Linked DNA regions of Struthio camelus. The protein of the gene in region 1 purifies or fractionates together with the protein of each later gene. This does not show direct contact. Links are inferred from orthologs where the notes say so. Each region holds a gene or a part of one and is shown in the gene's direction. Other genes may lie near its edges.

Region 1 (6,961 bases):
CAGGACTGACTGCAGTTCTGTATCACCAAACGTGCATGAACGTTTCTCCAGCAGGAAGTTTTACTGCAGGGCCGACATTTGGCAAGTAGCAAAGCCCCAGACCGAGTCACCTGCCTTTCTCCGAGCTGACTGTGGCGTGAACTCGCTCCTTGTTTAGTCTAGGGCAGGATGAGAAAAGGTGTGATCCCCCAATGCAGCAGCGGTGCAGGTGAGAAGTCTCTTGTGTGGGCGCAGCTATGCCAGGACACCTGCGCTCCCGACGGTAGGGGGGCTTCCCTGGCCCCCTGCAACAGACAGCTCTATCAGTGTACTGGTGCTGTGGTCGGGGTGCTGCCCGTTTCCAGCAGCGCTGGATAGCAGAAGTCAACTTTGTTTGTCAGCCTAAACCAAGCTGAAAAATGTTTTCTTCACTGAGCGCTTTTTCCCCGGCTTTTCCTACCTGTGCCTCTATCTACAAACGCGTTGCAGCTAGAGGATGCGTTTCGGTTGAGTTTCCTAAGGCAGCAAGACATGTGCAAAGCTTCCAGATGCAGCCATCCCTCCCTGTCACTCGTGAATGTGCTGGCCATTATCGAGTAGATTTAACAGAGCAGCAAGGGTCTGGAAAATCCTTATCTTCTCATAAGCCTTGTGAAATTAGACAGCTGGGTACTGGGGAGAGACTAGGCTGATGCCCCTTCTGAAGGAAAAAGCTCCCATATAGAGGGTGACTCTACAAGATATTGTTGAACCTTTTGGGAACTCACCTGGAGCTACACATCTCCAAGACACTAAGCTTTTTGGTTCTGCTACTCGTGCAAGCTTTCGTTTGATTTGAATATTTTCTTCTGTTTTTCCTCAGAGAGAGTCTGTCTGTTTTGTCACGGATGTAGCCAGCCCTCTGCTGCACACAGTCTTGTTTCCTCTCTACTTTTCCCATAGACTAGAGCTTGCTTGCGTGGCAAACTGCCAAAATCCTTATTGACTGCATTTGATAGGTATTCCAGCTCCGAGTTCCTCGAACAGACAGAACGCGAACCAGGTACGGTCGCATTGTGGACGTGGCAGGTGCCCCGTTCCCCCGGGGGGCGATGCACAACGGCAGATTGCATCCTGCTGAGGAATGGGGAAAGGGCTGCAGAAAAGCGAGTTGCCAGGTAAACGTGCAGGCTGTGCTTTCTGCAACACGGTGCTTACTGTGCCTGTCAGGTGAGGCAACAGTTACCAACTTGAACATGTTGATTAATGAGTTTGCTTTTCAAATAAGACTTGAACCTAGGTAACTTTTCCTTCCTGACAGTGCAGTTCTTTTGCGTGACTGAGAATAAGACGGCTGTTTGGAGGCGTGGCGCTGGGACTCTCCCTCTGTGTACAAGCTCCTTTTTTTTTTTTTCCTTTTGGCATTTTAAGAACCTTTCTTAATGTTTTGAATTGAAGTATTATTTTATGGCCAGCAGTGCCTGGAAACTGTGAATTCTGAAATCTTGTGTTCCACTGACGATACTGTCACATGGACTTGTGACCTGTGTGGCTAACTGTAGGGCATCTTTACTGCAAATGCCAAATACGGGGGCACGCTGCGTGCAGCCAGAGCAGGCAGAGGTGCAGAGAAGAGCTGGAGATTATCCTGCGTCCTTGGTCTGCGGTTTCTTGATATGCAGAGCTCAGTAAGCATAGCTGTCAGTGATCGTATACACGTGATAATCAGTTTACTTCTGGTATTAAAATACTTTGAATCTGTTTTATGCGTGCTTGACTCAAGGTGTAATCCTAAACCAGTTAGGCTATATCTGCTCTTTGAAATTTTTGAAACAGTGAATACATGCTAGCTAGTTTTGTCTAGAGTGGAATTTTACTAGATAGTTAAACGAAAGCAGGGTGCAGAGCTCTCTAGGTATGAAACTCAGCGTAGCACAGTGGAAAGGGAAGATGCACGATCCTTGCAAAACCAACACAACAGAGATGCTATGACCTCCCTTTGAGTGAAAAATCCCAAGTACCAGCAGCAGGCAGGTGCCCAGCTACTTGTGTAAACACATGGTTTCTTATAACCAAGGGGGCTGCCCATGCCATTTGGCAAGCAGCACTTCAAGGCTCAAGTGAGAAATGTTTGTATTTTGTTCCTAAAATGCAGCGATGCAGCCTCGATGCGTAATGTGACAGGAGGCTGAAATGGGTCTAAGGCTCTCCCTGAAAACATCTGCTCCGTAAATATAAATATTTTTAATTATGTGTTACTTGGTGACATTCGATCCATCCCCAAAGCAAAAGGCTTGGTTGAGGAAAAAATTTTGAGTCCGGAGGATATAATTTATGGTGATTACTTAACAATATCCTGAGACTAGGGTGAGCTTCTTGTGTGAGAGAGCCAGTGCTTCAATCATCCCTTAGCTTTCATTGTGGTACTCCAGGAGGGGGGTCCTCAAAGACCTCCCAAAAGCATCATTGCTCCAGAAAAGAAGTGGCTGTGGTAACGCAAGGAAAACTGATGAGGAACAGTGAATGCAACCAGTCTTTTTCAGCTTATCCAGAAGAAACTAAAGTGTGAACCTATTTTTTAAAAACAGCTGATTTGCGGAGTCCCCCATTTAAAACCAGTGCACATTAGAGAACTGAACAAATGTAATTAAACCAATTTTAAAGCAATTATTTGAAGTGGTCTGAGTAGATAAGGCAAATATTAGAAAAATTGTCACTTGTCGAGAATGAGTTTAGTTATGCTAATAGGTACTAAAAGGTTCTGACAGCCATGTAAAGATATAAGCTGTGGACATAGGAAGTAGTATTTTAGAAGGATGTCAGATATGTGCCAGTTAAATATGTTCTAATCTTTAATTATAACTTCCACGGACTATAAACGGAACTATGGAGAGCAGTTAACGCTGCAAGTACTTTCCACCTTCACTTGGTATTGTCTTCTAATTGTGCGTATCTGCTAATTAGATGAAGATGAAGGTCAGCGGAAGAAGGCATTTTTGATTACGCGGCTAGCGTCAAGCTAACTCTTAAAGCTTTTGAAACAGTAACTTTTACTGGCTGCAGAACAAATCTCTTATTAAACGTTGCCCTTCCATCACCCGCAGGTGTCCATCTCAGCGTCACCCCGTAGACGACATGATTTAAGGCCAGTGAAAAGCGTCCTAGTTTCTGAAGGCGGAAGCGCTCCGTTTGCGCAGCGAGGGCCGCCTTGACTGCGTCCACGCGCGGGCGTCCCCAGCCGCCGCCGTCGCCGTCGCGTTTTTCCTCCAAACGGAGCAGCGTGCGGCCGCGGTCCTTCCGAACCGCGGACGTGCAACCACGAGCCTGCTTCCCCCTCGGGGCGCGAGGGGAGCGGTCGTGGATCCCGCGAGCCCGGAGCGGCCGCCCACCGCTTCCACGCTCTTGACGGGTTTCTTTTTTTTCCCCCCGTTTTACCTATTTTTACGGGGCAAGGCGGCGGCTCGGAGCACAGAGCGGGGGCTTCGTACGCGAGCGCGCGGCCCCGCACGCGAACCGAAGCCTACATCCCTGCCTGCACCGCGCTTTCGCTCTAGGGGGGCGCAGACCCACCCGAGCGGCTCCGTAGCTAATTAACAGATATTAACTTTGCCGTGGCCAGGCCGACCGCCCCCTTGCAAACACCTCGGGTGCGCCCAAGCGCCGAGCTCTCCTTGAAAACGCCTGTGGATTTCCCCCCGCCCTGGCTTTTTTTTTTTTTTTTCTTTAATAGACTCCTGAAATTGCGCGTTTCTGCAGCAAAAACCGCCGCTGGGGCCACAAAAGATGCCTCAAAAAAAAAAAAAAAGAAAAAGGCCTAAATCGGCGAAACCGCCCCACCCGCCTCGCCGGGCCGCGCCATGGCGGCGGCGCGCCGCCCCCGCCCCCCCCCCCGGCCCGCACAACGGCGGCGCGGGGCACGCTGGGAGCTGTAGTCCGGGGCGGGGCAGGCCTGCAGCTCCCGCCGTGCCCCGCGCGGGGTGAGGTGCCCGGATGTGCCTGGCGCCGGAAGAGAAGCGGCTCTCTTTGGGGGACGGCCATCTTGTGCGGCGGCGAACAGGGCTGAGGGGGGCCCGGGCAGCATCGCAGGCGGATCCGGCCGACGGGGGTCCATCATGCCCGGACACCTGCAGGAAGGTTTCGGCTGCGTCGTCACCAACCGCTTCGACCAGCTCTTTGATGACGAGTCCGACCCCTTCGAGGTGCTGCGGGCGGCCGAGAGCCGGCGGAAAGAGAGCGGCGGCGGCGGCGGGAGCCAGGGGGGCGGCGGCGGCGGCGGCTCCCGCAGCGGCCCGGCGGGGGCTCAGCCCGGCTCGGCCGGCGGCGCCGGCAGCGGCGGCTCGGGCCCGGCGGGGACCGGCGGCGGCGGCGGCGTGGGCAGCGCGGCCAAGCAGCTGCGCAGGGAGTCGCAGAAGGAGCGCAAGAACCCGCTGCCGCCCTTCGCCGCCTCGGCCGCCGGCGGCGGCGCCCCCGACCGCCGCGAGGAGGGCAGCGGCCAGCCCGGCGCGCCGCTCCGCAAGGAGGGTGAGCGAGGCGGAGGCGGCGGCGGGGCGGGAGGGGGCCGCGGCGCCGCCGCCGCGCACAAAGGCGGCGGCGGGAAGGCGGCGGGAAGGGAGGCCCGGCCGGTCGGTCGGTCGGTCGGTCGGTCCCCGCCGCGGCGGCCTGGCGCCCACGTGGGGAAACGCGTGGCGGTAGGTGGTGGTGGGGGGGGAGGCCCGTCGCACGTGGCCGTGGGCGGCTTTACCGTTCCGGCCGAAACGCGCGTTTTGTTTCCCCGGTGTCCGAAAGGAGCCGCGGGCGGGAGGGTTGGCAGCGCGCAGACGGGACCGTGCGGGAGAGGATCGCTCCTGCCGCAGAGCCCGGGGAGCCTGCCCTCCTGTTTTGGGTGCTGTGACATGCTTAGCATCCTCTTCAGCAGTCTCTGGACTCGGCTTTTCTTTTTTTTTCCCCCTCCACGTTCACTGAGTTGTTTTTTTTTTTTTTTTGCGTCATAGCGCAGTTGATAGGACCAAGGTATGCGTTGCAGTAATACGTTTTATTAGTGCTCAGCCACATTTGTGCAAACCCGTAAGGCATCTCAGTAGACTTCACGGGAAGCTTTGGCTTCCTCTTGTGAGAAAATCAGAGTGGCATAAGCTTAAATAAGTTCTGGGAAAAGTGAGTAAAGGCACAATTTTGCCTGAGAAGGGGTGGATTTCGTACATACGTTCAGTCGTGTGGCAGGCGGTTGTACTGCACGCAAGGAAACGTGCACGTCTAATTGGCCAGAATTGTGAGCAACTTGGAGCTCTCGAGGTGCATGTATGCCGAGAGCAGTTAACGTTTGTGCGAAGAAATACTTACCAGTTGCAAACTTAACTCCAAATGGCCTCTTTGAAAATGCTCTCTGTTCACAAGAGGGCAAATTGCTACGTGAGGCTATGTTAATATTTTTGCTTTTAATACTGTACATGTTGCAGAATGATTCTCCACCGGGTTTTATGCTTTTTAAGAAAGGAAAACTTTCAGTACGTTTGTTGTTTTAGAAGATACCCCCTCCCCAAAAATATTACTTAAAAATACCTTGTGATATACAGAAGTCGAGAACTGTTTTACAGTACCCTTTCCTTATGCATCTTTTGTACTTCCAAGTCTGATGCTTGAGGGTTTTCATATGAGGAATGCAGTAACTTATCCTGAGTGGCGGTTTGCTAAACAAGTGTCCTTTGGAAGTACTTAATTCGGATACAGATTTATGGTGGTATTCCTCAAAAAGTAAACCTGAAACATGGGCAGTGTCTTTGGCCAATACAGCAGATTGCTGAGGGTTGTTTTGGTAAGACTCGCTATCAGTATGTACATAGCAGTTTGCACATTTATTTGCAAGAGCAAACACTACTCAACTTTGTGAATTGTAGCAATGAAACAGAGAAAGCCAAACCTTCTTTTGTAGCCGTGTGTATGGAGTACTTCAGTAAGAGACCAGTCGCCTTCAATTTTGAAAATTTCAATGCTTGTATGGGACAATACTACTTAACATTATAAAGGTAGTTGGTGCTATGGTATTAACAGGATTTATTTACTGAGTGAATATATTACTGTTTACACTATTGCCTTAGTCTGTAAAGGTGCAGATTATTTGGCTGATGAGTTACCCTTCAAAGCTATGTGATACTAAGACCAAGAGGTAATTTATATTTCTGGGTAGGCTGCACTAGGAACCACGATTTTCTGGGCACAAGGTGTTGAACTTGAAGTTCAGAAGAGCTGGATTATTCGTTTGCACTTCTGTAGCATACCTCCTGTGTGACTTTGGACAGTTCACTTTCTCCCTGGCTTTACCTCTAGAATGGAGTGATCCTTCTTAGTTTGAGTTCTTCTCAAAGTCAGTGAGCTTAAACTCATGTGTTTCTTTAGTGAGGAAGGATTACTTAGCAAGATATGTATGTCGTGCAAACTTAATGTTAAATACAGCTTGCAAGGTGAGGAAGACATTGTTCATTTGGGTGTGTTGGCTTGGATGTCATTACAACTGTAACTTTTTTAGCCCCACCCTAAATTTGGCATTGCTTGTTAGGCAGGAACTTATTTAAAAAGATTAAAATTTGAGAGTTTTTAATTTGAAAGAAAACTTGCATTTTTTGAGGCAGTCTTTGTGGTTTGCTTGGTGTTTTTTCTCTAAACATTGTGAAAAGCTAATAGGATAAGGATGGAGTGATATGTTCATCCAGATCTTTCTAAAGAACAGTAAACAGGTCTTTTGGAAGATAAATAGAGTTTTTTTATCCATTCAGGATTCTTCAAATGTCTTCGTGAAGAAGATAACGCCGTAAGAAGTGATTATTTAAAAATTTTTGATAAAAGTGGGAGGAAGGGGTATAGAAGGAGAGGGAAACGGCCTAATTGAGGTGAAATTAAAGGCAGAGAGAGGGAGTTAGCTGTCTAATTCACATCGAGGTGAATTTTTGTCAGTGAGCACGTATTGGATTGTGAGGATTGGAGCGTGGATTAATGCTTCGTTTAGTCG
Region 2 (7,684 bases), on another chromosome or scaffold:
AAGCCCAGAATTCCCACGTCTACTGGGTAAGTGCGTTTTGTTTCACAAAGCAGCTAAAGGGAAGGAGTTTATTCGCTGTGGCATCGCTGCTGTGTGATAAGCTCTGAGGGAGGGTAGCCCTTGCCTGGCAACTGTTTCCCAGTCTCAGTTGTGGGTTATTAGCAATCTGCAGTTGATTACAGTTCTTGATAACAGTCTTTCTTCTGTCCAGTGGCGCTACTGTATTCGCTTGGAGAACCTTGACAGCGAAGTGGTACAACTACGAGAACGGCACTGGAGGATATTTAGCTTGTCCGGCACCTTGGAAACTGTCAGAGGTCGTGGGGTTGTAGGAAGGGTAGGTATTGTGTAATATCATATGTTTCTTTTGGGAAATGGAGCCTTTTGCTTGGGCTGATTTAGCAGTCAATTTCTTAATGGGCATTTTTAGATGGAATAGAAAATGAGCTATGAAAAAAAAAAATCACATGAGCTTTTCATCTGTTGTTGATACTTGTGAGCTGAAACCTCACATTGAGTATTAGAGAACGGTCCTAAATGACTGACAAAGGGAAAACTGCAATTCTCATGCTAATCACTGGGTGAGTTGTTTGTCATCTAGTTTGTAGTGATGCTAAGTACCATTCTGAAGCCTGTGGATCTCTGTTTTTGTGGTTGTTTTTGTGTACATTTTCTGTTGATGGATGGCTATGGAGAAATCTTAAGATCCGCTGCTGATGCAGGGTTGTCTCTTCTTGTCTTCTCAGGAGCCAGTTTTATCCAAAGAACAGCCAGCATTTCAGTACAGTAGTCACGTCTCCCTGCAGGCATCCAGTGGTCACATGTGGTAAGGAGCATTTATTACTGCAGTAGTGTTTAGATATAGGACCCTACAGTGCTGATCTGGGACGTGCAGAGTTTGCAGTCTGGAATTAAGACTCAAAGGTGGGTAGAAGTGGACTGGACAGGACATACTTGATAGTTAAAATGAGTGTTTGTATGAAGCTACTCTATAGCAATAGTCCCAGGTAGTAATAAGAACATCTGCTGATTCCCTGCACTGGGAGAGGCTACAGGCTAATTTATCCACTTTTCTCTGGTCTGTGCTAGACTGGACTTGAAAAGAGCTGGAGCAGTTCTCCATCATCAGCTGATGTACTTGGTTTCTGTCCCTCTCAGTCCTTGGCGCAAGAGGCATGTCTTCATGCGGTCTTCCCCTAGGACAGCAGGGATGCGTGCACAAGTATTCCCTGCGCTTTCACAAGGCTTTTCTATCCCTGAGTGAAGCTGTGCAGTTCTGTATCCAAGGAGTTGGCCTGTAGGATTATTCCCAATTTAGGTCAGATAAGGCCTTCAGTCTGACTGACATTAAGGTCTCCTCTTCTGTTGGTGTGGGATGGAAAATGCTCAGGTTGAGCTGTTCTTTTCCTGTGCCTTGGGGCTGAAGCAAATTCCCTTCCCTTCAAGTGGGTTGGCACACTGAGTGTCATCTCTGTGGGGACAAGAAGTGCGCAGCCACCTCTTGCCTTTTGTATGACAGGTCTTTCTGGCTTGCGCTTTTTGAGTCAATCTATTTTAGAAGTTGAGCTGCCTTGGAAATGCGTGAGAGCAGCTCTTTGCCTGTAAGATATACCTTTGCTAGCATTGTTTGCCATGCTATGTATTTACAATTGCCTGAATGCATGCCCTGGGGAATTAAAACAGCTTGTTTAGTGTTTTTAGCTCTCTGCATGCATCCTGAAGAGAAGGAGACAAAAGTTCTGAAGTTCAGAAGCTGTGCTCAGCTTGGCTTATTGTGTCCTTATTTATGTCCTCTGCATTATGAGAACCTATTACTGTATCTCCACGGTGCTCTTGCCCATGTCACGTTCTGCAGTTCACAGTGGTCTGTATTTCATGGCAGTGAGAGTTCTTCTGGGGACGTGGCAAATGCTTTTTCTGCATAAGGACGAATAGATTTGGTTCTTCAGTGCCCTTTCTGAAATTCAAAGCAGAAGCTGCTCCAAGTTATGTCTGTGATGGGATTTCATGATTGTCCCAGGCTTCTTAACCAGTGGAGCTTCTGCCAAGAAATAAGAAGCTGAATTTACTTGTAATCAGTTTGTAAAAATAGCTCAGAGGTTCTGTCTCCTTTGGGGTGAGTTTTAGGTAAATATTGCTGCAGATGCTCGGGGTGCAATATGCCTCCTGGGGGATCCAAACATGACATCTCTATTCAGGAAATGTACATGAGAGATGTGTTGTAAACTGCCCAGGAGTATTGTAATAATTGAGTCACCTTGGCAGAGAGGTGTGCTTGCTGCCAAACCAGCCTTGCAAATGCAGCCCCAGAGTCCCTTCGCAGGAAACGGAGAAGTTCATTTCTTACCTTTTAGCTGACGATTCCTAGATGTTTGCCCTGGCCTCAGTGTAATCTCTGCCTTTATCTTGCAGGGGTACTTTTCGATTTGAAAGGCCTGATGGCTCCCACTTTGATGTCCGAATCCCACCCTTTTCTCTGGAAAGCAACAAAGATGAGAAGACCCCCCCCTCTGGCCTTCACTGGTAGAGCAGAGATCCACAGAGAACTGTGTGTGTTGTAGACCTTTGCCTCCCCATCACACCGCAGCCAGGAACACGGAGCTTTTAAACATTTTAAACCATTTTTGTTTTAACCGTTGTCTAACGGGGAGGTTGTTTTGAACTTTAATACTGGCTCTCTCAGGCTGCTTGTAAACATAAGCTCTGTTACAGTTAACCCTTCCCTTTGTGGCACCTGCTGAGGTTGGAGCTGGGGAGTTAGATCTGTGCTGCTGCAGAAGATTGGCCCACTCAGCAGGCCTGGACCCCTTCCGATGTGTTGTGACTTCTCTGCAATATGAGGTTTCTCTAATAAACTGGCCCTTCCAGTTGCAACCTGTCGTCTTTTGTAAACCAAGGCCTGGGTTTTGCATCAAGCCTGCCCCAGCCTGTTGCTCCCCCCTCACCTCTGTGCAAAGCAGAGTCAGCCCAAACTTTTCACTGCTTCAGCAGTAGGGAGCAGAAGAGTGAGCTGTTCTGCTTCCTAGTGAGGCGCAGCCTTCCTGCAATGCAGCTGCTTTCTGGGATGTAGCCAGCGTGTGGCAGAGCAGCCTGAAAGCCGTGCTCCCTCTGCGCAGCTCTGAATGGCACTGCTCGTCTGGACTATGCTGGAGGGATGCAAAGCTCATTTTGTTGGAGAAGGGAGTGCAGAGGTGGAGAGGCCGTTTGGCAGGTGGTGCCGAGCAGGCCGCTGTGCGTGGGGCACAGGCCAGCTCGTTGTGGTAGTACAGGGCACGTGGACAGAAGCCCTCCCCTGCTGCAAGGACTTGCCTAGCATGAGAAGTGTGCATCTTAACTGCTAGCGGTTACTTCCCTGCATGAGACGTGATAGCATCTCCTTGGTTGGTAGTTTCTGCTTCAACAGGAAGGGCTTGTTTTAACCTGAAACGCTGAAGCCACAATGAGGTGGTGCTTGGCTTTCTACTCCTGCTTTCTGAGGTCAGCAGGTCTTAACTTTTGTATACTGTGCAGAGGACCCTGCAGAGCCAAGCAGGCACAGGTCAGTGAAATTCCCATATGCTTGTGATATATAGATTTGTGGGAATTTTACTTTTAGATATGAGAGGCCCAGCCTACAGTGCAAATTGAGCACATTAACTATTTTGCAAGCCAGAGCTGTGCTTGCCACTGCTCCGAGGATTGCTGAGATCCCCCGAAGGCTAGCAGAGAGACGTGGACCTCTGTGGTGGGACCCTTTTGGCTGACTGTGGGCTTCCAAGGCCAGATTGTCTGGGCGACTCGCAGGGGGCAGAGGTAGATGGCTTTGTGATGTGAAGGCTGGGCAAAAAAAGTTTCAAACAAATATTGCTTCTCTCCCTGGTTTGGCTTAAATGACAAGGGATAAATAACTAATGGGACTTTTTGTTATCATTATTATTCCTGATGGGAAAGTATCCCAGTTGTCTCCTCTTCCCGAGTCCTCCCCTCTGAGCTGCCTTTTTGCCCTTGGATCCGCACGGCAGTGCTGCGGGCATCTCAGCTGACGGAAACACGGCCTTCAGAGATGAGAATGGGAGATTTGCACGCTGTCTTGCAGCCAACTGATACACATGTAGAGAGAGAGAACTGCTGCTGCTTAGACGTGTTTAGTTGTCAGCAGTCCCTTAATTTCCTCCTGTCAGGTAGGACATGCTATCTTCATTGCTCTTAAGAGTTAAAAGGCTAATGCAGTCGGCTTGCCTGCAGGGACAGGAAAGGATGGGTGTAAAGAACAGCTCAGCTGGCAGCTGGTTTCCTAGGAGGGATAAGGGAGGACGATACCGGGCGCTGCTTTTCCCTCCCCGTCGCGGCTCGCTCCGGAACGGAGGCGCAGCTGCCCTGCCTTTCCCTTGGGTCGCTGACTTCGGCGTGACGAGCAACGGTGACGCTGCGGTAAACGTTCAACCGCGTTGCTCGCCCGCCTTCTGGGGTGCGGCGTTCCTAACGCTTCCAGCAACCGGCAGAGAAAAGCTGCTGGGGGACAGCGCTAGGCGGAGGGGCCGCCGGCTGCGGGCTCTGGTGTCCCAGCGCCCCGCTGGGCCGGCGGCGGCGGGAGGCCTCGGCGCCGCCCCTCCTCTCGCAGCCGCCATGTCGGGGCTGTGCTCGGCGCTGCGCGCTCCCGGCATGCCCCGCGCCGCCGCCTCCTCCGCCGGGCGGAAGTGACGTGGCCGGAAGCCGGGCGCGGCGGCGAGGAGGCGGCATGGCGGCGGCGGCGGCGGGCGCGCATCGGCCCGGGCCGCTGAAGCAGCAGAACAAGGCGCACAAGGGCGGGAAGCGTCGCGGGGCCGCGCAGCGCCGCGCCGCAGGTGAGGCGGGTCCCGCCCGCGCCCCCCCCCGTCGCCGCCGTCGCCCCCTCCCTCACCGCTCTCTCCCCGCAGGCCGAGTCGCCGCCAAGGCCCTGCCCCGCCGGCGGCGCCGCGACCTCGGCAGGGTGGATCGGCGGCACCAGGCGCTGCAGCTCCGCCGGCAGCGCAAGGAGGCGGTGAGGGGCTGGGAGGCCTTGGAGGGGTTCGGGAGGGGCCGGTTCGGGTGCTGGGGGGAGGGGAAAGGGGCCCCGGGGACGGTTCGGATACGAGATGGGGGGGGAACGGGCTCCGGGCCGGTTCGGGTGCGGGAGGGGAGAGGCATGGAGAATGGGACCTGGGTTGGTTTGGGGCGGGGGAGGGGGAAGGTACCTGAGCCGGTTTGGGTGTTGGGGGGGGGGGAAGGGGCCCCGGGTCGGTTCGGTTCGGGTATGGGGCGGGGGGATGCAGAATGGGACCTGGGTTGGTTTGGGGAGGGGGAAGGCACCTGAGCAGATTTGGGTGTTTGGGGCAGGGGGAAGGTGGGGAATGGGAGTTAGGCTGGTTTGGTGTTTGGGGCAGGAGGGTGGTGGGTTGGGGCACAGGGAAGAGGGGGAATGGAGAACGGGCACTGGGATGGTTTGGCTCGGGGGTGGGGAAACGGGAATTAGACTGATTCAGAGCAGCATTGGGGGTGGAACAGGGCCTGGGCTTTCTGAGATCTGTCTGGGCGATGAGGAACTGGGCCTAGGAGCGGAGCAGGTACCTGGGTTGGCTCATTTGGGGGTGGGGGTGGCATTACCAGGCCAAACTAGTTTGAGTTGAGGTGGGGGAAATTGCGGCATGATCTGGGGAGGAGGGTAGGAGCTGCGGTTCACAGTCTCCCTGTGCCCGTAGGTGTTGGCAGAGAAGCGGAGCCTGGGCAGCAGGGACGGACCCCCGCACCTCGTGGTCGTGGTGCCGCTGCACAGCGGGGCCTCAGCGCACGACACCCTCCACTTGCTGCAGAGCCAGGACTCGACCGTTGTGCGCATTGATGATGGGAGACCCGGTGGCTTCGCGCTCCTCTGTCCCCGGCTCAAGCAGCGCTGGCGCTTCGTGGCAGCGCAGCCAGGTGAGGAAACGCTGCTGGTGGGGTGGGTTTCCGCTCCCTAGCCCCAGCAGCCCCGGTAACGGAGATGTTCTGCGTGCAGGGGATGTTCATGCTGTCCTAGACCTAGCGAAAGTCGCAGACTCCCTCCTGTTCCTCTTGGATCCTGTGGATGGCTGGGACAGCACAGGGGAGCACTGTCTCTCCTGCCTCTTTGCACAGGGGCTCCCCAGTTATGGTGAGTGAATGAGAAACGTGCGGACTTCTAGTGGGGTGCGGGTTAAGGAAGTGCTTGACGGGGACCTACTGTTGCAGTAATTAAAAATTCCATGTGTTAGCAGGTGATCACAGGTCTCTGACCACTCTGTTTCTAAGCGAGTATCAATTGGCCAAGTGCTGTTGCCCTGCTGCTGTGTTCTGCATTCTCACAATGGGTTTCTGTGATGATTGTGTGTTCTTTTGAATGGGTGAAACTGCCTTTGTAACTTATGGTGTGAATCTGTTGCTTGGTTCGTTTGAATGCAGAAATCTGAGTTTGTCTTGTTAACGCTTGGTGAAAGTGGTATGAGAAGGTTTATGTTCTGATCATGAGCTCTGTTCTGTGTGCTGTTTGGTAGCTCTTGCTGTCCTGGGGGGCACCGACTTGCCACCAAAGAAACGGATAGATGCTAAGAAGAAACTCGCCAAAGCCATTGAGAAACGCTTTCCAGAGGCCAAGCTCTTCCCCCTGAACACAGAGCAGGAGTGCTCGCTGCTGCTGCGGCACCTCGGTGCCCAGAAGCAGCGGCATCTTGCTTTTCGGGACAGACGGGCTCACCTGCTTGCCTATGCTGCCGAGTTTGTGCCCAGTCAGGAGAGCGACTTGGTGGGGACCTTGAAGGTGTCCGGCTTTGTGCGGGGACAGACCCTCAGTGTGAACAGCCTGGTGCATATTGTGGGACATGGAGACTTCCAGATGAGCCAGGTGGATGCCCCCCCAGACCCCCTTTCTTTGAACCCCCGAGTGGTTAAAGGACAGAAGAGGAGTCAGGGCATGGATATACAGGTGTGCTGGTGGTCGGCGTTTGCCTTGCCCGTTATAACCCGATGTTTCTAAACTTTCATCAAGAAAGTGTGATTGGGTGTATGTGGCCAAGGGTGGGGGGAAAAGGGGGTTGCATTGAGGGGGAAGGTGGGCTTGTGTTCTGCCAGTGAGCCGAGACTTCCTTGGATACAGCATGTAATGAACATTGTGATGTTATGACATAATGGACGTTATGCTGAGGGGAGTTTGTGTTTCTTATTTGTCAGGGTGGGGATAGTTTTGGTAGCGAAGGTTGTGGGAGGAGCTAGTCCTTCACTTCAGACTGATCCCTAGCTTGAATTAGGTGTGTTTGCAACTGGGGGTTCTGTTCTTTTGCCCTTCAGGATGACTCTGTAAATGGTGCTGATGAGATGGAGGAGGATGTTAAGGTCCTGATGAAGGCAGATGCTACCAAGCAGGAGCCTTTGCAGTCAGAAGTGGTCCCTGATCCTATGGAAGGGGAGCAGACATGGCCTACTGAAGAAGAACTGCAAGAAGCAGAGGGTGAGCAGTAACAGTGTTTCTGTACCTTTTCTGTGTCCCTGTTAAGAGCGTTGTGAGAATCCCTGTGTCACTGGGATGGCTGAGGGGGCTGTGAAGAAATGCACTGATCAGGAGCTCTGGCCTTCCTCATGATTTCCCTTCCTACTCCCATCACCTGACCACTAGGCCGCATGGTTTCCCTCGAGGTTAACAGGGTTACATGTTGCTGCCTTTCCTGGGCCCTGACAA
Region 3 (7,848 bases), on another chromosome or scaffold:
ACCCCCCCAGGGGCAGATTTAACCCCCTGGGGCAGTTTTGCCCCCCCGGGGGCAGATTTTACCCCCCCAGGGGCAGTTTTGCCATCTTTGGGGCAGTTATTACCCCCCCAGGGGCAGTTATTACCCGCCCAGGGCAGCTTTGCTCCCTCCAGGGCAGTTTTGCCCCCCCGATGGCAGTTATTACCCCCCCAGGGGCAGATTTAACCCCCCCAGGGGCAGTTTCTCCCCCCCATGGCAGTTATTACCCCCCCAGAGGCAGTTATTACCCACCCAGGGCAGCTTTGCTCCCCCCTGGGGCGGTTTTGCCCCCCCGATGGCAGTTATTACCCCCCCGGGGCAGATTTAACCCCCCCTGGGGGCAGTTTTGCCCCCCCTGATGGCAGTTATTACCCCCCCAGGGGCAGATTTAACCCCCCAGGGGCAGTTATTACCCCCCCAGGCAGTTATTACCCCCCCCCGGGGGCAGTTTTAGCCCCCCCCAGTGGCCGCTGTGCAGAAGTTGTCCCCCCCGCCCCCCCCCCAAGGGGCCCAGGCGTCCAGGGTGGAACCCGGCCCCCCCCCCCCCGCCGGACGCCTGGGTCCCGTGGCATCGCCCCGGGCAGGGTGACGCCCTGGGCTCCCCGGCGGCCTCAGTCGCCCCGCGGCACCCGGAGCCGGCCATGACCCCCGCCGGGACCCCCCGCCGCGCCCTCGCCCTCCTGCTGCTCCTCGGTGAGTGCCCCCGGGGGGCCCAGGCATCCGGGGAGCCCCCAGCCCCCGCCCCGGGGGCCCAGGCATCCGGGCGACCCATCCTGGGGGCCCAGGAGTCCGGGCATCCCCATCCTGGGGGCCCAGGCGTCCGGGTGCCCCCATCCTGGGGGCCCAGGAGTCCGGGCATCCCCATCCTGAGGGCCCAGGCGTCCGGGTGCCCCCATCCTGAGGGCCCAGGCGTCCGGGCGCCCCCATCCTGGGGGCCCAGGAGTCCGGGGAGCCCCCAGCCCCCGCCCTGGGGGCCCAGGCGTCCGGGCATCCCCATCCTGAGGGCCCAGGCGTCCAGGTGCCCCCATCCTGGGGGCCCAGGAGTCCGGGGAGCCCCCAGCCCCCGCCCCGGGGGCCCAGGCGTCCGGGCGACCCATCCTGGGGGCCCAGGAGTCTGGGAGCCCCCATCCCCTACCCTGGGGGCCCAGGCATCCGGGGGCCCCCGGCCCCTGCCCTGGGGGCCCAGGCGTCCGGGCGACCCGTCCTGGGGGCCCAGGAGTCCGGGCATCCCCATCCTGGGGGCCCAGGCATCCGGGGAGCCCCCATCCTGGGGGCCCAGGAGTCCGGGGAGCCCCCAGCCCCCGCCCTGGGGGCCCAGGTGTCCGGGCGACCCATCCTGGGGGCCCAGTCGTCCGGGGAGCCCCCATCTTGGGGCCCAGGCATCCGGGTGCCCCCATCCTGGGGGCCCAGGAGTCCGGGAGCCCCCATCCCCTACCCTGGGGGCCCAGGCATCCGGGGGCCCCCGGCCCCTGCCCTAGGGGCCCAGGCGTCCGGGTGAACCCACCCTGGGGGCCCAGGAGTTCGGGAGCCCCCATCCCCTGCCCTGGGGGCCCAGGCATCCGGGGGCCCCCGGCCCCTGCCCTGGGGGCCCAGGCGTCCGGGTGAACCCACCCTGGGGGCCCAGGAGTTCGGGAGCCCCCATCCCCTGCCCTGGGGGCCCAGGCATCCGGGGGCCCCCGGCCCCTGCCCTGGGGGCCCAGGCGTCCGGGTGAACCCACCCTGGGGGCCCAGGTGTCCGGGCATCCCCATCTCCTGCCCTGGGGGCCCAGGCATCCGGGAGCCCCCATCCTGAGGGCCCAGGCGTCCGGGTGCCCCCATCCTGGGGGCCCAGGAGTCCGGGCATCCCCATCCTGAGGGCCCAGGTGTCCGGGGACCCCCCATCCTGGGGGCCCAGGCGTTCAGGGAGCCCCCAGCCCCCACCCTGGGGGCCCAGGAGTCCGGGCATCCCCATCCTGAGGGCCCAGGCGTTCAGGGTGCCCCCATCCTGGGGGCCCAGGAGTCCGGGCGACCCATCCTGGGGGCCCAGGCATTCAGGGAGCCCTCAGCCCCCACCCTGGGGGCCCAGGCGTCCGGGCATCCCCATCCCCCACCCTGGGGGCCCAGGTGTCCGGGCGCCTCCCCCAAGGGACCCAGGCATCCGGGCACCCCCGTCCGCCCCCCCCCCAGGGGGCCCAGGCTCAACCAGCCAAAAGGGGAAGTTGTGGGAGCGGGGGAGGGCCGGACGCCTGGGCCCCCGTCTGTCTGTTCAGCTTCCTCCTCGGCCGGGCCCACGAGGGGCCCAGGCGTCCGGGTGCCCGCATCCTGGGGGCCCAGGCGTCCGGGGGCTCCTGCCCCTCCCCCCCCCCTCACTGGGGCCTTTTTTCACCTTTCAGGGCTGGTTGCCGCAGAGAGAGGTGAAACCCCTCCCCCGCCTCGAGGGGCCCAGGCGTCCGGGCTTGGGGAATCCCTCTGGGAACGGCCCAAAGGGGCCCAGGCATCCGGGAGGGGCCCAGGTGTCCGGGCGGGCCCAGGTGTCCGGGGAGGGGCCCAGGCATCCGGGGAAGGGCCCAGGTGTCCTGGAGGGGCCCAGGTGTCCGGGAGGGGCCCAGGTGTCCAGGGAGGGGCCCAGGTGTCCGGGAGGGGCCCAGGTGTCCGGGGAGGGGCCCAGGTGTCCGGGGGGCCCAGGTGTCCGGGAGGGGCCCAGGTGTCTGGGGGGGGGCCCAGGTGTCTGGGGGGGGGCCCAGGTGTCCGGGAAGGGCCCAGGCGTCCGGGGGGCCCCAGGCATCCGGAGAGGGTCCCAGGTGTCTGAGGGGGCCCAGGTGTCCGGGAAGGGCCCAGGTGTCCGGGAGGGGCCCAGGTGTCCGGGAGGGGCCCAGGTGTCCGGGGAGGAGGCCCAGGTGTCCAGGGAAGGGGCCCAGGCATCCGGGGAGGGGCCCAGGTGTCCGGGGAGGGGCCCAGGCATCCGGGAGGGGCCCAGGTGTCCAGGGGGGCCCAGGTGTCCAGGGAGGGGCCCAGGTGTCCGGGGAGGGGCCCAGGTGTCCAGGGAGGGGCCCAGGTGTCCAGGGAAGGGGCCCAGGCATCCGGGGAGGGGCCCAGGTGTCCGGGGAGGGACCCAGGCATCCAGGGAGGGGCCCAGGCATTCAAGAGGGGCCCAGGTGTCCGGGAAGGACCCAGGCGTCCGGGAAGGACCCAGGTGTCCGGGGGGGGCCCAGGTGTCCGGGAGGGGGCCCAGGCGTCCGAGGAGGGACCCAGGCGTCCGGGCCCCCAGACTGCAGCTCCTGCCTGCCGGGCCCTGGACCAATCGCGGCGCTCGTTGTGGCCGACCTCATCATGACGCTGCTCATCGCGGGCGGAGCCTATTGCCTGGCGGGGCGGAACCAGCGGGGTAGGGGGGGTGGGGCCAGTGGTGGGGGTGGAGCTGGTGAGGGAAGGGGCGGGGCCAGCTGTGGGGGTGGGGTCTACAGCCCGCTGGGGTGGGGGCAGCGTTGGGGGTGGAGTCAGGTGGTGGGTGGGGCTTAGACCCCCATGGGGGTGGGGCCTATGGGAGGGTGGGGCCAGATGGGGTGGGGGCCTTGTGGTGGGCAGGGCTAGTGCAGCCAGGGGGTGGCGCTAAGTGCTGGGGGCGGGGCCAGAAGGGGTGGGGTTGGATGGGGCTGCTGGTGGGGGGCGGGGCCACTGGTGCCTGACTCCACCCCGCCCCCCTCAGCTGAGGTGAAGAAGCCCCGCCCACCCGAGATGGAGTCGACCTATCAGGTGGGCTGGGGACCTAGGGGGCGGGGCCAAGACAACCATGCCCTTATATGGCAATCCTGGGTAGCCATGCCCTTATATGGCAATCTTAGCCATATAAGGATTGGGTAACCATGCCCTTATATGGTAATTTTGCCCTTATATGGCAACTCCCACCTGTTACCCGGGTAACCGTGCCCTTATATGGTACTGCAGTCCGTTACCCGGGTAACCATGCCCTTCTATGGCACCGCAGCCCGTTACCCGGGTGACCGTGCCCTTCTATGGCACCGCAGCCCGTTACCCGGGTGACCGTGCCCTTATATGGCACCGCAGCCCGTTACCCGGGTGACCGTGCCCTTATATGGCACCGCAGCCCGTTACCCGGGTAACCGTGCCCTTATATGGCACCCGAGCCCGTTACCCGGGTGACCATGCCCTTATATGGCGCCCGAGCCCGTTACCCGGGTGACCGTGCCCTTATATGGCACCGCAGCCCGTTACCCGGGTGACCGTGCCCTTATATGGCAACTCCAGCCCGTTACCCGGGTGACCATGCCCTTATATGGCACCGCAGCCCGTTACCCGGGTGACCGTGCCCTTATATGGCACCCCAGCCCGTCGCCCGGGTAACCATGCCCTTATATGGTAATTTTGCCCTTATATGGCAACTCCCGCCCGTTACCCGGGTGACCGTGCCCTTATACGGCACCCGAGCCGGTCGCCCGGGTAACGGCGCTGACCTCTGCCCCCAGGAGCTGCAGGGCGGCCGCCGCGACATCTACAGCGAGCTCAAGGGGCCCAGGCGTCCGGGCCCCCTCCCCCAATAAACCGACCGCTTCCCCCTGCCCGCGCTTCTCCTCTCCTCCTTCCTTTACCGCCTCCTTTATGCCGCCGGGGGCGGGGTTTCCCCTTTACTTCCGGGAGGGGCGGGGCGGCCGCCGCCGACGTCACCGCGGCGCGCGTCGCGACGTGACGTCGCCGCGGCGCGCGCCGGAAGCGCCCCTCCCCCTCCCTTCCTTCCCTTCCCCCGCCCCCCGCGGCCGCCGGCGCGCGCGGCGCTGCTTCTCCGCCATGGCGGCGCCCGCCCCCCCCGCCGCCGCCGCCGCCGCCCCCCCCGCCGCCGCCGCCGCCCCCCCTCCCGGGGCTCCGGCCGGAGCCGGCGCTGCGGCGGCGGGAGGAGGAGGAGGAGGAGGCGGCCCCGGCCCCGGCCCCGCGGCGGCCAAGAGCGGCGAGGAGCGGCTCAAGGAGATGGAGGCCGAGATGGCGCTGTGAGGGCGGGGCCGCGCGTCGCCATGGCGACCGGGCGGGGGCGGGGGGGGGAGCTGCGTGGCGACGGCGGGGGGGGGTGCGGCTTGAGGGGCCGTAGCAGCGGGGGGCGGGGCTTGGGGCTCCCTAGCAACGGAGGGGCGGGGCTGGGGAGAACCGTAGCAACGGGGGGCGGGGCTTGGGGCTCCGTAGCAACGGAGAGATGGGGCTTGAGGGGTCGTAGCAACGGGGGGCGGGGCTTGGGGCTCCCTAGCAACGGAGGGGCGGGGCTGGGGAGAACCGTAGCAACGGGGGGCGGAGCTTGGGGTTCCGTAGCAACGGAGGGGCGGGGCTGGGGAGCTCCATAGCAACGGAGGGATGGGGCTTGAGGGGTCGTAGCAACGGGGGGCGGGGCTTGGGGCTCCCTAGCAATGGAGGGGTGGGGCTTGGGAGAACCATAGCAACGGGGGGCGGAGCTTGGGGCTCCATAGCAACGGAGGGGCGGGGCTGGGGAGCTCCATAGCAACAGAGGGATGGGGCTTGAGGGGTCGTAGCAATGGGGGGCGGGGCTTGGGGCTCCCTAGCAATGGAGGGGTGGGGCTTGGGAGAACCATAGCAACGGGGGGCGGAGCTTGGGGCTCCGTAGCAACGGAGGGGCGGGGCTGGGGAGCTCCATAGCAACAGAGGGATGGGGCTTGAGGGGTCGTAGCAGCGGGGGGCGGGGCTTGGGGCTCCGTAGCAACGGGGGCGGGGCTGGGGAGAACCGTAGCAACGGGGGGCGGGGCTTGGGGCTCCCTAGCAACGGAAGGGTGGGGCTGGGGAGCTCCATAGCAACGGAGGCATGGGGCTTGAGGGGTTGTAGCAACGGGGGGCGGGGCTTGGGGCTCCCTAGCAACGGAGGGGCGGGGCTGGGGAGAACCGTAGCAACGGGGGGCGGGGCTTGGGGTTCCGTAGCAACGGAGGGATGGGGCTTGAGGGGTCGTAGCAACGGGGGGCGGGGCTTGGGGCTCCGTAGCAACGGAGGGGTGGGGCTGGGGAGCTCCATAGCAACGGAGGGGTGGGGCTGGGGAGAACCGTAGCAACGGGGGGCGGGGCTTGGGGCTCCGTAGCAACGGAGGGGCGGGGCTTGGGGCTCCATAGCAACGGGGGGCGGGGCTTGGGGGCCTCCCTAGGCACCCGAGAGGGGCTGAGGAGCTCCAGAGCAACAGAGGGGGCTCTATAGCAACGGGGGCGGGGCTAGAGGCTCCATGGCAACGGGAGGGGCGGGGCTAGAGCCCCCCCCCAGGCTCTCAGGAGGGGCTGGGGGAGTTCCATAGCGACAGGGGGTGGGGCCAGGAGGCTCCATAGCAACGGGGGGGCGGGACTGGGGATGCTCCATAGCAACGGGGGAGGCAGGGTATGAATGAAGGGGGGGCGGGGGGGGCAGGAGGGTCCCGGGGGGGTAGCGGGGCGCCCCCCCCGACCCCCCCCCCTCATCATCGTCACCCCCCCCCCCCCACCCCCAGGTTCGAGCAGGAGGTGCTGGGGGCCCCGACGCCGCTGCCCGCCGGCCCCCCCGTGGTGGAGGCCGTGGCCCTGGCCGTGCCCCCCGTGGCCCCCGTGCTGCGCCCCATCATCGCCACCAACACCTACCAGCAGGTGAGGACCCCCCCCCGGGGGTCGTGGCACCTCCCCCCGGGGATCTGTCACCCCCCCGGGGACGTGGCACCTCCCCTGGGGATTTGTCACCCCCCCAGGGACGTGGCACCTCCCCCCCGAGGATGTGGCACCTCCCCCCGGGGGACATGTCACCCCCCCCGGGGGTCGTGGCACCTCCCCCTGGGATCTGTCACCTCCCCCTGGGATCTGTCACCCCCCCGGGGATCTGTCACCCCCCCAAGGACATGTCACCTCCCCCCGGGGGTCGTGTCACCTCCCCCCTGGGACGTGTCACCTCCCCCCCGAGGATGTGTCACCTCCCCCCGGGATCTGTCACCCCCCCAGGGACGTGTCACCTCCCCCCGGGGACTTGTCACCTCCCTCCCACGGACACGTCACATCCCCCCCCCCAGGATGTGTCACCCCCCCCGGGTTGTGTCACCTCCCCCCCCCCGATGTGGCACTTCCCCCTCGGCACATGTCGCTTCCCCCCGGGATGTGTCACCCCCTTGGGACACGTCACCCCCCACCGCCCAGGACGTGTCATGTTGTCTTCAGCGTGTGTCACCCTCCCCGGGGACGTGCCACCTGCCCCCAGGGACGTGTCCCCCCGTCCCCGTTGATGTCCTTGGTGACGTCCCCATGTCCCCAGTGATGTCCCTGTGTCCCCACTGGTGTCCCCGTGTCCCCACTGCCGTCCCCGTGTCCCCACTGATGTCTTTGGTGGCATCTCCATGTCCCCGCTGCCGTCCCCGTGTCCTCGTTGATGCCCCTGGTGACATCCCCATGTCCCCACTGATGTCCTTGGTGACGTCCCCGTGTCCCCACTGCCGTCCCCGTGTCCCCACTGATGTCCTTGGTGACGTCCCCATGTCCCCACCACCGTCCCTGTGTCCCCGCTGCCGTCCCCATGTCCCCGTTGATGCCCCTGGTGACGTCCCCATGTCCCCACCACCGTCCCTGTGTCCCCACCACCGTCCCCGTGTCCCCACTGATGTCCTTGGTGACGTCCCCATGTCCCCACCACCGTCCCCGTGTCCCCACTGATGTCCTTGGTGACGTCCCCATGTCCCCACCACCGTCCCTGTGTCCCCGCTGCCGTCCCCATGTCCCCACTGATGTCCTTGGTGACGTCCCCATGTCCCCACCACCGTCCCCGTGACCCCGCTGCCGTCCCCGTGTCCCCACTGATGTCCTTGGTGGCATCTCCATGTCCCCACTGATGTCCCCATGTCC
Region 4 (7,838 bases), on another chromosome or scaffold:
GGGAAGCATTGTTGCACAGCAGTACAGGCTGATACAGAGATTATTTTCATTTCCAAGGAAAACTTTTACCTCTTGGCCTTATCAGAATTGCTGATGTCTTACAAAAGCCTTCCAGAAGGCTCCGGCCGTGTTACTGATTGATGAACGCGGAACGCTCTGTTTGCCCTGCAGCTGTTACCGTCTATGCCCTGCCCCTGCATTATCCTGAAATCTGCCCTCAGTTCTGCATACGTGCTTTAGGAGAGGCTGTCTGACATCCCAAATACTCAATGAATTTAGTTGCCTAACTTCCCAGTGGATACTGGGAAGTAGTATCCACTGGGATAGTAGTTTAGTACTACAATTAGTCTAGCAAAGTTGAATCCCTGCCCCAGCACGAATTTGTTTTGCCAGAGATTGCGTCTCAGTACAGGTAACGCATAACCCAGGATTACTATTAGCACTGTGACCTTCTTAACAGCCAGCTGATACATGTAGCAGAGGTCACTCAGGCCCCCCAGAGTATGGGTTTGAAACCTCCGATTTCTGTCTCTTCTGGAATAAGACCAACATTTAAAATCTGGCAGCTTGGATAATCTATGTAGAACATCCAAACTAACGGTCATTCTGTTACGGGATTTGAGGCATGTATTTATCTCAGCTTCTAACGATGTTTACAGATGTCTGATGGATGTGCTATGAGAGAGTGTCGTAGTTACATCTGTGATGATGTTGCTCTAGAGGATACAAAAACACCATTCAGTTTGGCCTCACATAAAAATCAGGCTCTGCCAGACCCATATAATGTCTGTGTTACATGGTTCCAAAAGGTGAGAAGTATTTTGCCAGTACTGTTTGTGCAATATGTAGGATTTGTATGCAGTGCAAATGTTAAGTATGTTACGTACTGGATAAATTGAAGTGTGTCGGTCAAATCTTTCTTTCTTTAGACAAATATGACGACAGCACAGAAATTTCCCTACTGAGGTCGTGGCTTGTGGTCTCATTGTCTAGCATGAATTCATTACACTGCAAGTGACTTTCCTACTGTGATCGGTGCATCAATATAAGAGATTCCAGCTGTCTAAGTAAATGGAATATCAGGATGACATAAAACTACGTAAGTTCATACCATGGAGAAGAAAGACTGGAAATTTTGTTCTCCTGACTTCAGACTTGTTTTCCTTCAAAGGAGAGGTTATAATGAAATTAAAAGATGACAAATTCAAAACTGACACTAACTTGTTTGAACTGTGTGTAATTAGATCATGAAACCTGTTAGCACAGGAAGTCGTTACAGCCAAGAATTTAGCTTGATGGATCAAAAACTATTATAAGGTGTCTAAAGCAATCTAGTTTCAAGTAATGTTGATAAAACGGAAGGAATATTGAATTGTCTACTTCAGAGCTTTTGGCAATATCAAAATTACTTACTACATAGTATTGGGATCATAAGATCTTATTATTGCATTTTTGTATTTTCCCTGGAGCATTGGTGCTGGACATCTTTAGAGGTGAGATTCTGAGACAGATGGATACCAGGTCAGATTCAGTGTGGCAGTTGCTGTTTTCTTGCTGTTGTCAATTGCTTTTAGTAAATAACCAGCCTGACTACTACTATTTTATCACATCGAGTTTCTTGCTCAGTACAGTATGAGTCTGAGATAGAAAGCAGACAGATAAAGCCACATATGATCCTTGCTTGTTAAAACGATTATTACTTTGGCACAGAACTCTAACTGGGATAAGATAATTGCTTCATTTCATAAGCTGATAAAGGATATGATGCTTCATAGCAAAGGTATTTCCAGCTTCCACTTTTTAGCCAGAAATGTACAATGTTAAACTTTGCATCCTGATGTTTCCTAGTCTTGTATTTTCTTTAGTCCTTTCCTCACATTTTCCTTCTCTTCCTTAATTCACACTGGGTTGCCTTTTCTTGATAGTCTTTTTGACATCTCTGCTCAACTCAGTTCAGCAACTGATGTTTTCCATGTATGTTTCTTGAAATGTTATACAGATCAAATTCCAAGAATGGCCATACTGGGATAGACTAAAGGGCAGGCGTACACAGTATTTCTGCTTGATGCTCTCTCAGCCTCCAAACATTGCAGCTCAGAAATTTCCAGAGCTAGATGCAAATTCTACCTAGGTATTTATTTACACGCAATGCATTTCTCTTCATTAAACTTGTTCGGTCTCCATCTCAATTCATGTAAAATTTTACTGTCCACAGCGTCCTTTGGCAAGGACTTCAATAGGTCATCAACCCACCCATGAGGGTCTACTATCTTTGCTCTGTTCTGAGCTGGCTTCTTCTTGCTTCATTAGATGCTCCAATAATTCTTGTATTGAAAGGGAGAATAAACAAATTGATCGTCTTCCTACCACTCCAGGCCACTAGATTATACAGACCTCAAATCCTTCCTCCTCCCTTCTTTCTTTTGTAGAGTGGCAACTCCTAGCTTGCTTAGTTGCTCCTCATTATCAATGCAGTTTCACACCTTTCATCATTCTGGCTGTCCTCCTCTGAACCTTTTCAGTTGTATATCCTTTCTGAGATGTACCACTTTTAGTTTAAATTAATATGTGAAACAGACTGTACTTGCTGACCCATTTCACAGTGCTGTCCACTAGGTTACACGGAAAACGAAAGCAGTAGGAGAAAAGACAGTGGCATAGAGAAATAAGTTTCTCCTCTACCCACTTTAGATGCCAACAGTTTCCATTCCGATGCAACAAGGATGTGTCTCCTTCTTTTTTTCCTTTTTTTTTCCTTCTCCTTCTAGGAGCTCGAGGAAGGAGATAAGATGAGGTTCCGTGATAGACCTCGTCAGGGAACTGCAAACCCTTTAGAAAGTGTTATGGCTGTGTCAGTGTATGCAACACAGGAAATATGCACTATTGTTCTGGCAGCAGGAGAGGCAGATCCTGAATGGCATCCTGGTATTAATGATCTTAATGTCTCTTAGACCCGCCAGTTTCAGCACACTTGAAAACCAATGGGTGAAACCATTGGAAAATCATGGCAGGTCATTGTATCACTATGATAAGAAGTCCTCCTGCTTTCTTCCTCATCAACAAGTTATTTAGGCACTTCTTCATTTATTTTTCCAAGTGTTAACCAGTTGTTTCTCTCTATGCTGCAAACAATCATTTCTGACCGTTTCAGTTCGCTTAACTATCTTTTTGCTTTTGTCAATAAAATATCAGTTCTCTAAGAAGCCGTGTGAAATTTACTGGGTAAGAATGAGAAGCTGTGTTGAAAAGATATGTAGGCAAGAACATATTGCCCTTGTGTATTCTCCCTTTCATCATTCGATAATTTCAAGAAATGAAGAGCAGAAAAGACTTGACTAATTTGGACTGAATAAGAATACAAAGTCTTATGTCAACCAGAACTTTAAAGTTTCAGAAGCAGTTGCATTCAGGAAGGGACAATGCCAGAATTCAGTTCAGAACTATTACATATTCATAATTTATCTTTGAGAAAATGCATTCAAGGGAAAGATATTTAAAGATCAGATAGCTTTTTTGTTATCTTTTATCACAAGTCATTCTCAGGCTTTAGTCTATCTTTTTCTAAGATACAGCTGAATACTAGATCTTCCACAGTTTTCCGCTTCCCAAGCCTCACCAGACACCTCATCCAACCCTACTATTATGCATCTGAGCCGGAAAATTTCAGATGAAGAGGTCAGGTAAAAGACTGGCACCTAAAGCAAAGCCATCAACAAGAAAGCAAATAGAATAAATATAATGGAATGATGATTACTCAGTAAGAAAGATCTTGAAAGAGATAGGATGCTTTACTTCTGTTTCAGTATCTGATTCTTATCTGGAGACATTTTGAACATCCTCCCAGGCCAGAATATTGAGTAAGATGGGTCAGTGCATCTAAGTAGTCAGAGAGAGATCTATGTTTGCAGATAATTGCAAATGGACTCTTTTCTGTACATAGCTGAGCATGTATGTAGCTGTGTCATCTACACGGAGAGGTTTTTAAAATGCTGCTGGCAGGGAGAAGGCTTCTTGGGGTGCATGTAAATGACTGAGGCGAAACACGAAAATACTTGAGGAGGGGCCACAGCAACTGCTAAAACTTTTTAGAAAATATAAAAGGCAAAGGCTGTGTCTGCTTTTCTTACCCCCAGTTTTACCCAGCGGTTTTAAATCTAGGCTCCTGCTGCCCTGTCAACTGTAACTGTCTGTTTGTATGTGTACCAGTATGGGAGAATGTTCTTTTTGCTGCATATTTTGTATGACTGGATCTTCTCTGGCTCTTTTCTCTCCCTTAATGAACCCCCATGATGCTTTCCTCCCTTTTTTTTCCCTCCAAGCAGTTTTATCTTCCCATCCTGTCGGCTTGGTGGGACCAGCCTGTTGACAAGTTAACAATTTGCCGTCTAGCACCCTTGCCGGGCCAAGTGGCGGCGAGGCAGTTACCGGGCAGCGGGCGGGCGTGTTGCCACCTCTGGGTTGTTTCCCCTGGCGCTGGGGCAGTGCTGCTTCCTGAGGGGTTTCAAGCCGCTCGCTGCTACCCGCGCCTCGAAGGAAAGCGGCCTCTCGGCCCTGCCGGCTCCAGAGGGCCGCCAGCACCAGCCACGGGCCGTGGCTCCGGCCTGCCAACCCCTGGCGCAGGGGGCCCGCGTCGCCTCTGAGGCGCCCCTGACTGCAGGAAAGCAGTAACCCTGCCTTCCCTAGCTGGGAGGGGGCCGCGCCCGCTGCCGTTTCCCGAGTCCACGCGTCCGTTTACGGCCCGCGACGAGCCGTTGCCAGCCGCCCAACGGCACTACAGCTCCCGTGGTGCCGCGCGGCGGCGGCGCCCCGCCCCGCCCCGCGGGCGCGCACAGCCTGCTGGGGGCCGGGGCCGTGCGCGGGGGCCGGCGCCAATGGCGGCAGGCGGTGGGGGCGGCTGACGGGAGCCGTTGCCCGTCGCGCCCATTCATTGCCGGCACCTGCGGCCCGCGGCCGGGTTCCGCGCCGCTATGGAGGCGCTGATCCCCGTGATTAACAAGCTGCAGGACGTGTTCAACACGGTGGGGGCCGACATCATCCAGCTGCCGCAGATCGTCGTGGTGGGCACGCAGGTGAGGCGGGGGCGGCCCGGCCCGGCCCGGGCGGGGCGGTGGCAGCGGCGGCGGGAGCGGCCGTCGGTGCCGAGCGGCGGGAGGCGGCAGCCCGGCCGCTGGGGGCAAAGTCGAGGCACCCTCCCCCGCGCCTCGGCTCGGGCGGCTCCGGTGCTGCCTCTATCAAGGGCACGGGGGGACGCGGCGGGGCGGGCCGCCTCCCCGCCGCCTGCGGCCGCGGCGCCTCTTCCCCTTCCGCCGCCCGCCCGCTCCCCGCCTCCCCCGCGCCGCCGGCGGCTGTGGCCGGTGGCGAGTGCGAGGGGCGCAGCAGCGCGCTGGAGAAGCCGCCTCTCGCCGGCGTGCACCCTTTTTTTTTTTTTAACCCCCTCCCGCGAGGTCGCTTGACAGTTCCTTGCGCTGTTGGGACCTGTTTGGCTCGGGCAGCGGTTTGGAGCGAAAGGAGGAAGCGGCACAGAGCAAACCTGGAACAGTTGCGGCGTGCGCATCCCAGCCTGGTAGCGCTGGAGGGTTATAAATTGTTTCGGAGCCTTTCGGAGGGACGCAAGCGCGCTGTAGTTGCTCGACAGAACTCTCCGCGACGAAATGTGCCCAGCCAGAGCTGTCGGAGTTGTAGGCTGAAAATGAAGCATTTTAGCACAGCTAGAACTGCCTGGGAGGGGAGTGCTTTTTCATTTTTAACTTGGAGTTAATGGGTCTCTTTGTTTCTGTGAAATTAACCGTGCTTATGAATATTTGATGTTACTTGACAATAGCCTGGCTACATAAGAGACAGCAGTATCAACTGTTCTGCGGTCAGTTTGAGATGTCATTATGTGGCTTAAAACAGATGCTGCGTGTTTAAGGCTTACACAGTGCTGAAGCACGGACTAGGTTTGCCCATAGCTAATTACACTCTTGAAATGGTTGTAAGGCAACCAGCTGTCAGTCTCTTTTACTGATATAAATCAGGTAGATTCATGGACTTTATATCAATTACTTTATAAAATAGATCTGAAATACTTGCATTGTGTGGGAGAGACTTTGCATTCACAGGTTATGTTAGGTTCTTGCTGTTTTTGTAGCTAAAAGGAGTCCATCACCTTCTGAAGACATTTAATCTCTTACACTAAAAATCATGCAAGCAGGCTGTATTTTTTTTTAATTTCTATAGCAGAAATAGGTGCAAGGCAGAGATATGGCATTTTTCTGTGTAATGTTAATGGAAGTATTATTTTCTGTTTCACTTTATGAAACACATTGAAGTGACACTTTATTTTTTGGATTATTGTTGCTTTATAGCAACTTGATCCTAGTTAACTGCTCATAAATACATAGAGTAGGTGATGCGTGTTACGATTATACTGACATGCATTTGACTTGAACAGTCTACCCTTGGGTAGTAACATCCATTCAATTTCAAATTTGGTAAACTCATGAAAAGACATAGAATAAGGTAAAATAGTGTGATGCCTCTTAGCACACCAAGGCCAAGAGCTTTATAGACTCCAGAAAAAATACAGCAAAATGTCTGTGAAATTATAATTACATTATATAATTGTATTATAATTTCACAGACATATATAAAGCCCTTGGTCCGTGATTTTTTTTTTTGTTTGCAAAACACTATTTTTAGTCAGAGTTATTGGAAGAAATAATTGTTCTCACTGAAATGCTAATTCTTTAGATAGTTATTTTACCCAATTCATTCATTTTAAAAAACACTTTATTTTATTCATTTGAAGTTAGCTTATTGGCTACTAGATTTCTGGATTTGCCTCAAATATGGCCCTATAGCCGATCCTATTACTACTGGTGCTTTGCTTCCGTGATTTGTTTGTTTGTTTGAGAAGACACATTTAAAAAAAAAACCAATATCCTTTGGTCGGTTTCTTGAGGTATTTTTGGTTAAGTGATATGTGACCGCTAAATTTGTTCAGATGATTAATTTCTTTGTAGCCCACTGGCTTTTGCAGTCTCTTGTTTTTTCTTTTTTGTATAATATTAACAACTTTCTGAATTTCGCACCTTCATTTTACTATGTGGAAAAACAAATGTTATTAACATTTCTGTAACCCTCCATTAATTTTTTTTGTCTATTTTGTCTGTTGCTTTTCTAAAATGGCCTTTTTTTATATTTAGCATGGAGAAAAAAAAACCTTTTTTAACAGTTTCACTATTCATTTGTTTTCATTTACCTTCTGTATCTGTTCTGTACCCTTTTACTATTTGTTTTGTACTTATGTCTTTCTTCAGTTCTCATTTATTTCTACTTCTATATGCCAAATTGATTTCTTCTTTTTTAGAGTATGTAGAGTTAGCAAGTACTTAAAATCTTTAAGTTATCTTTGGATGTTTTCTGTTTCTCCATGTGCCTCTTTCCCCCTCTCTCTTGTTTGGAAACTCATTTCCTATCTTCCTTGAAAACTCTGAGCAACTGAGGTGTCCTAATTTTTTGATTTTTGTAGATGGATTTTGATACTAATTACAAAATACTTCTTAGTAGATTTTAAACATTTAGATGGCCTCTTGCTCTTTTTCTAGTCTCATTCTTGTGACTTTGTCATATGAGAATTGCTTCTCATTTTCTACTTAAATACTGTGTAGGTTATTTCTGTATCCTCCTAGAGTGTATTAAGAAAACCGAAGACTCCATTTCCTACTGCGGGAACTCGGAGAATGCCCTTGGAATGCTAACTCTGTGTTGCTATTTTAGGGTTTTTCTGTCATTCTACAGTGGGTTTTCTTTTTATTTATCTTTTCCTGAATCTGTGTTTCAGTTCCCTTTTTACA

What was found.
Region 2: the proteins of SERBP1 (region 1) and TSR1 purify together in Homo sapiens (affinity purification with mass spectrometry; 3 studies listed by BioGRID and IntAct, with this or other methods). This does not show direct contact. The link is inferred for Struthio camelus from reciprocal best matches to the Homo sapiens genes SERBP1 and TSR1.
Region 3: the proteins of SERBP1 (region 1) and RBM42 purify together in Homo sapiens (affinity purification with mass spectrometry; 3 studies listed by BioGRID and IntAct, with this or other methods). This does not show direct contact. The link is inferred for Struthio camelus from reciprocal best matches to the Homo sapiens genes SERBP1 and RBM42.
Region 4: the proteins of SERBP1 (region 1) and DNM1L purify together in Homo sapiens (affinity purification with mass spectrometry; 3 studies listed by BioGRID and IntAct, with this or other methods). This does not show direct contact. The link is inferred for Struthio camelus from reciprocal best matches to the Homo sapiens genes SERBP1 and DNM1L.

Annotation. Positions count from the first base shown.
Region 1 is NC_090949.1:37,015,796-37,022,756, reverse strand, and holds the start of SERBP1 (SERPINE1 mRNA-binding protein 1), read left to right. Parts: upstream 1-3,952; 5' UTR 3,953-4,070; coding exon 4,071-4,479; intron 4,480-6,961. UniProt on the Homo sapiens protein: Ribosome-binding protein that promotes ribosome hibernation, a process during which ribosomes are stabilized in an inactive state and preserved from proteasomal degradation.
Region 2 is NC_090957.1:16,394,818-16,402,501, reverse strand, and holds the start of TSR1 (pre-rRNA-processing protein TSR1 homolog), read left to right. Parts: upstream 1-4,674; 5' UTR 4,675-4,717; coding exon 4,718-4,823; intron 4,824-4,895; coding exon 4,896-4,999; intron 5,000-5,696; coding exon 5,697-5,913; intron 5,914-5,992; coding exon 5,993-6,127; intron 6,128-6,506; coding exon 6,507-6,934; intron 6,935-7,296; coding exon 7,297-7,456; intron 7,457-7,684. Other genes in the region: POLDIP2 (polymerase delta-interacting protein 2), read left to right, coding at 1-26, 212-337, 747-826, 2,413-2,527. UniProt on the Homo sapiens protein: Required during maturation of the 40S ribosomal subunit in the nucleolus.
Region 3 is NC_090974.1:27,736-35,583, reverse strand, and holds the start of RBM42 (RNA-binding protein 42), read left to right. Parts: upstream 1-4,842; 5' UTR 4,843-4,977; coding exon 4,978-4,997; intron 4,998-6,479; coding exon 6,480-6,612; intron 6,613-7,848. Other genes in the region: TYROBP (TYRO protein tyrosine kinase-binding protein), read left to right, coding at 660-711, 2,391-2,411, 3,266-3,382, 3,704-3,750, 4,482-4,556. UniProt on the Homo sapiens protein: Binds (via the RRM domain) to the 3'-untranslated region (UTR) of CDKN1A mRNA.
Region 4 is NC_090942.1:67,416,890-67,424,727, reverse strand, and holds the start of DNM1L (dynamin-1-like protein), read left to right. Parts: upstream 1-4,838; 5' UTR 4,839-4,967; coding exon 4,968-5,069; intron 5,070-7,838. UniProt on the Homo sapiens protein: Functions in mitochondrial and peroxisomal division.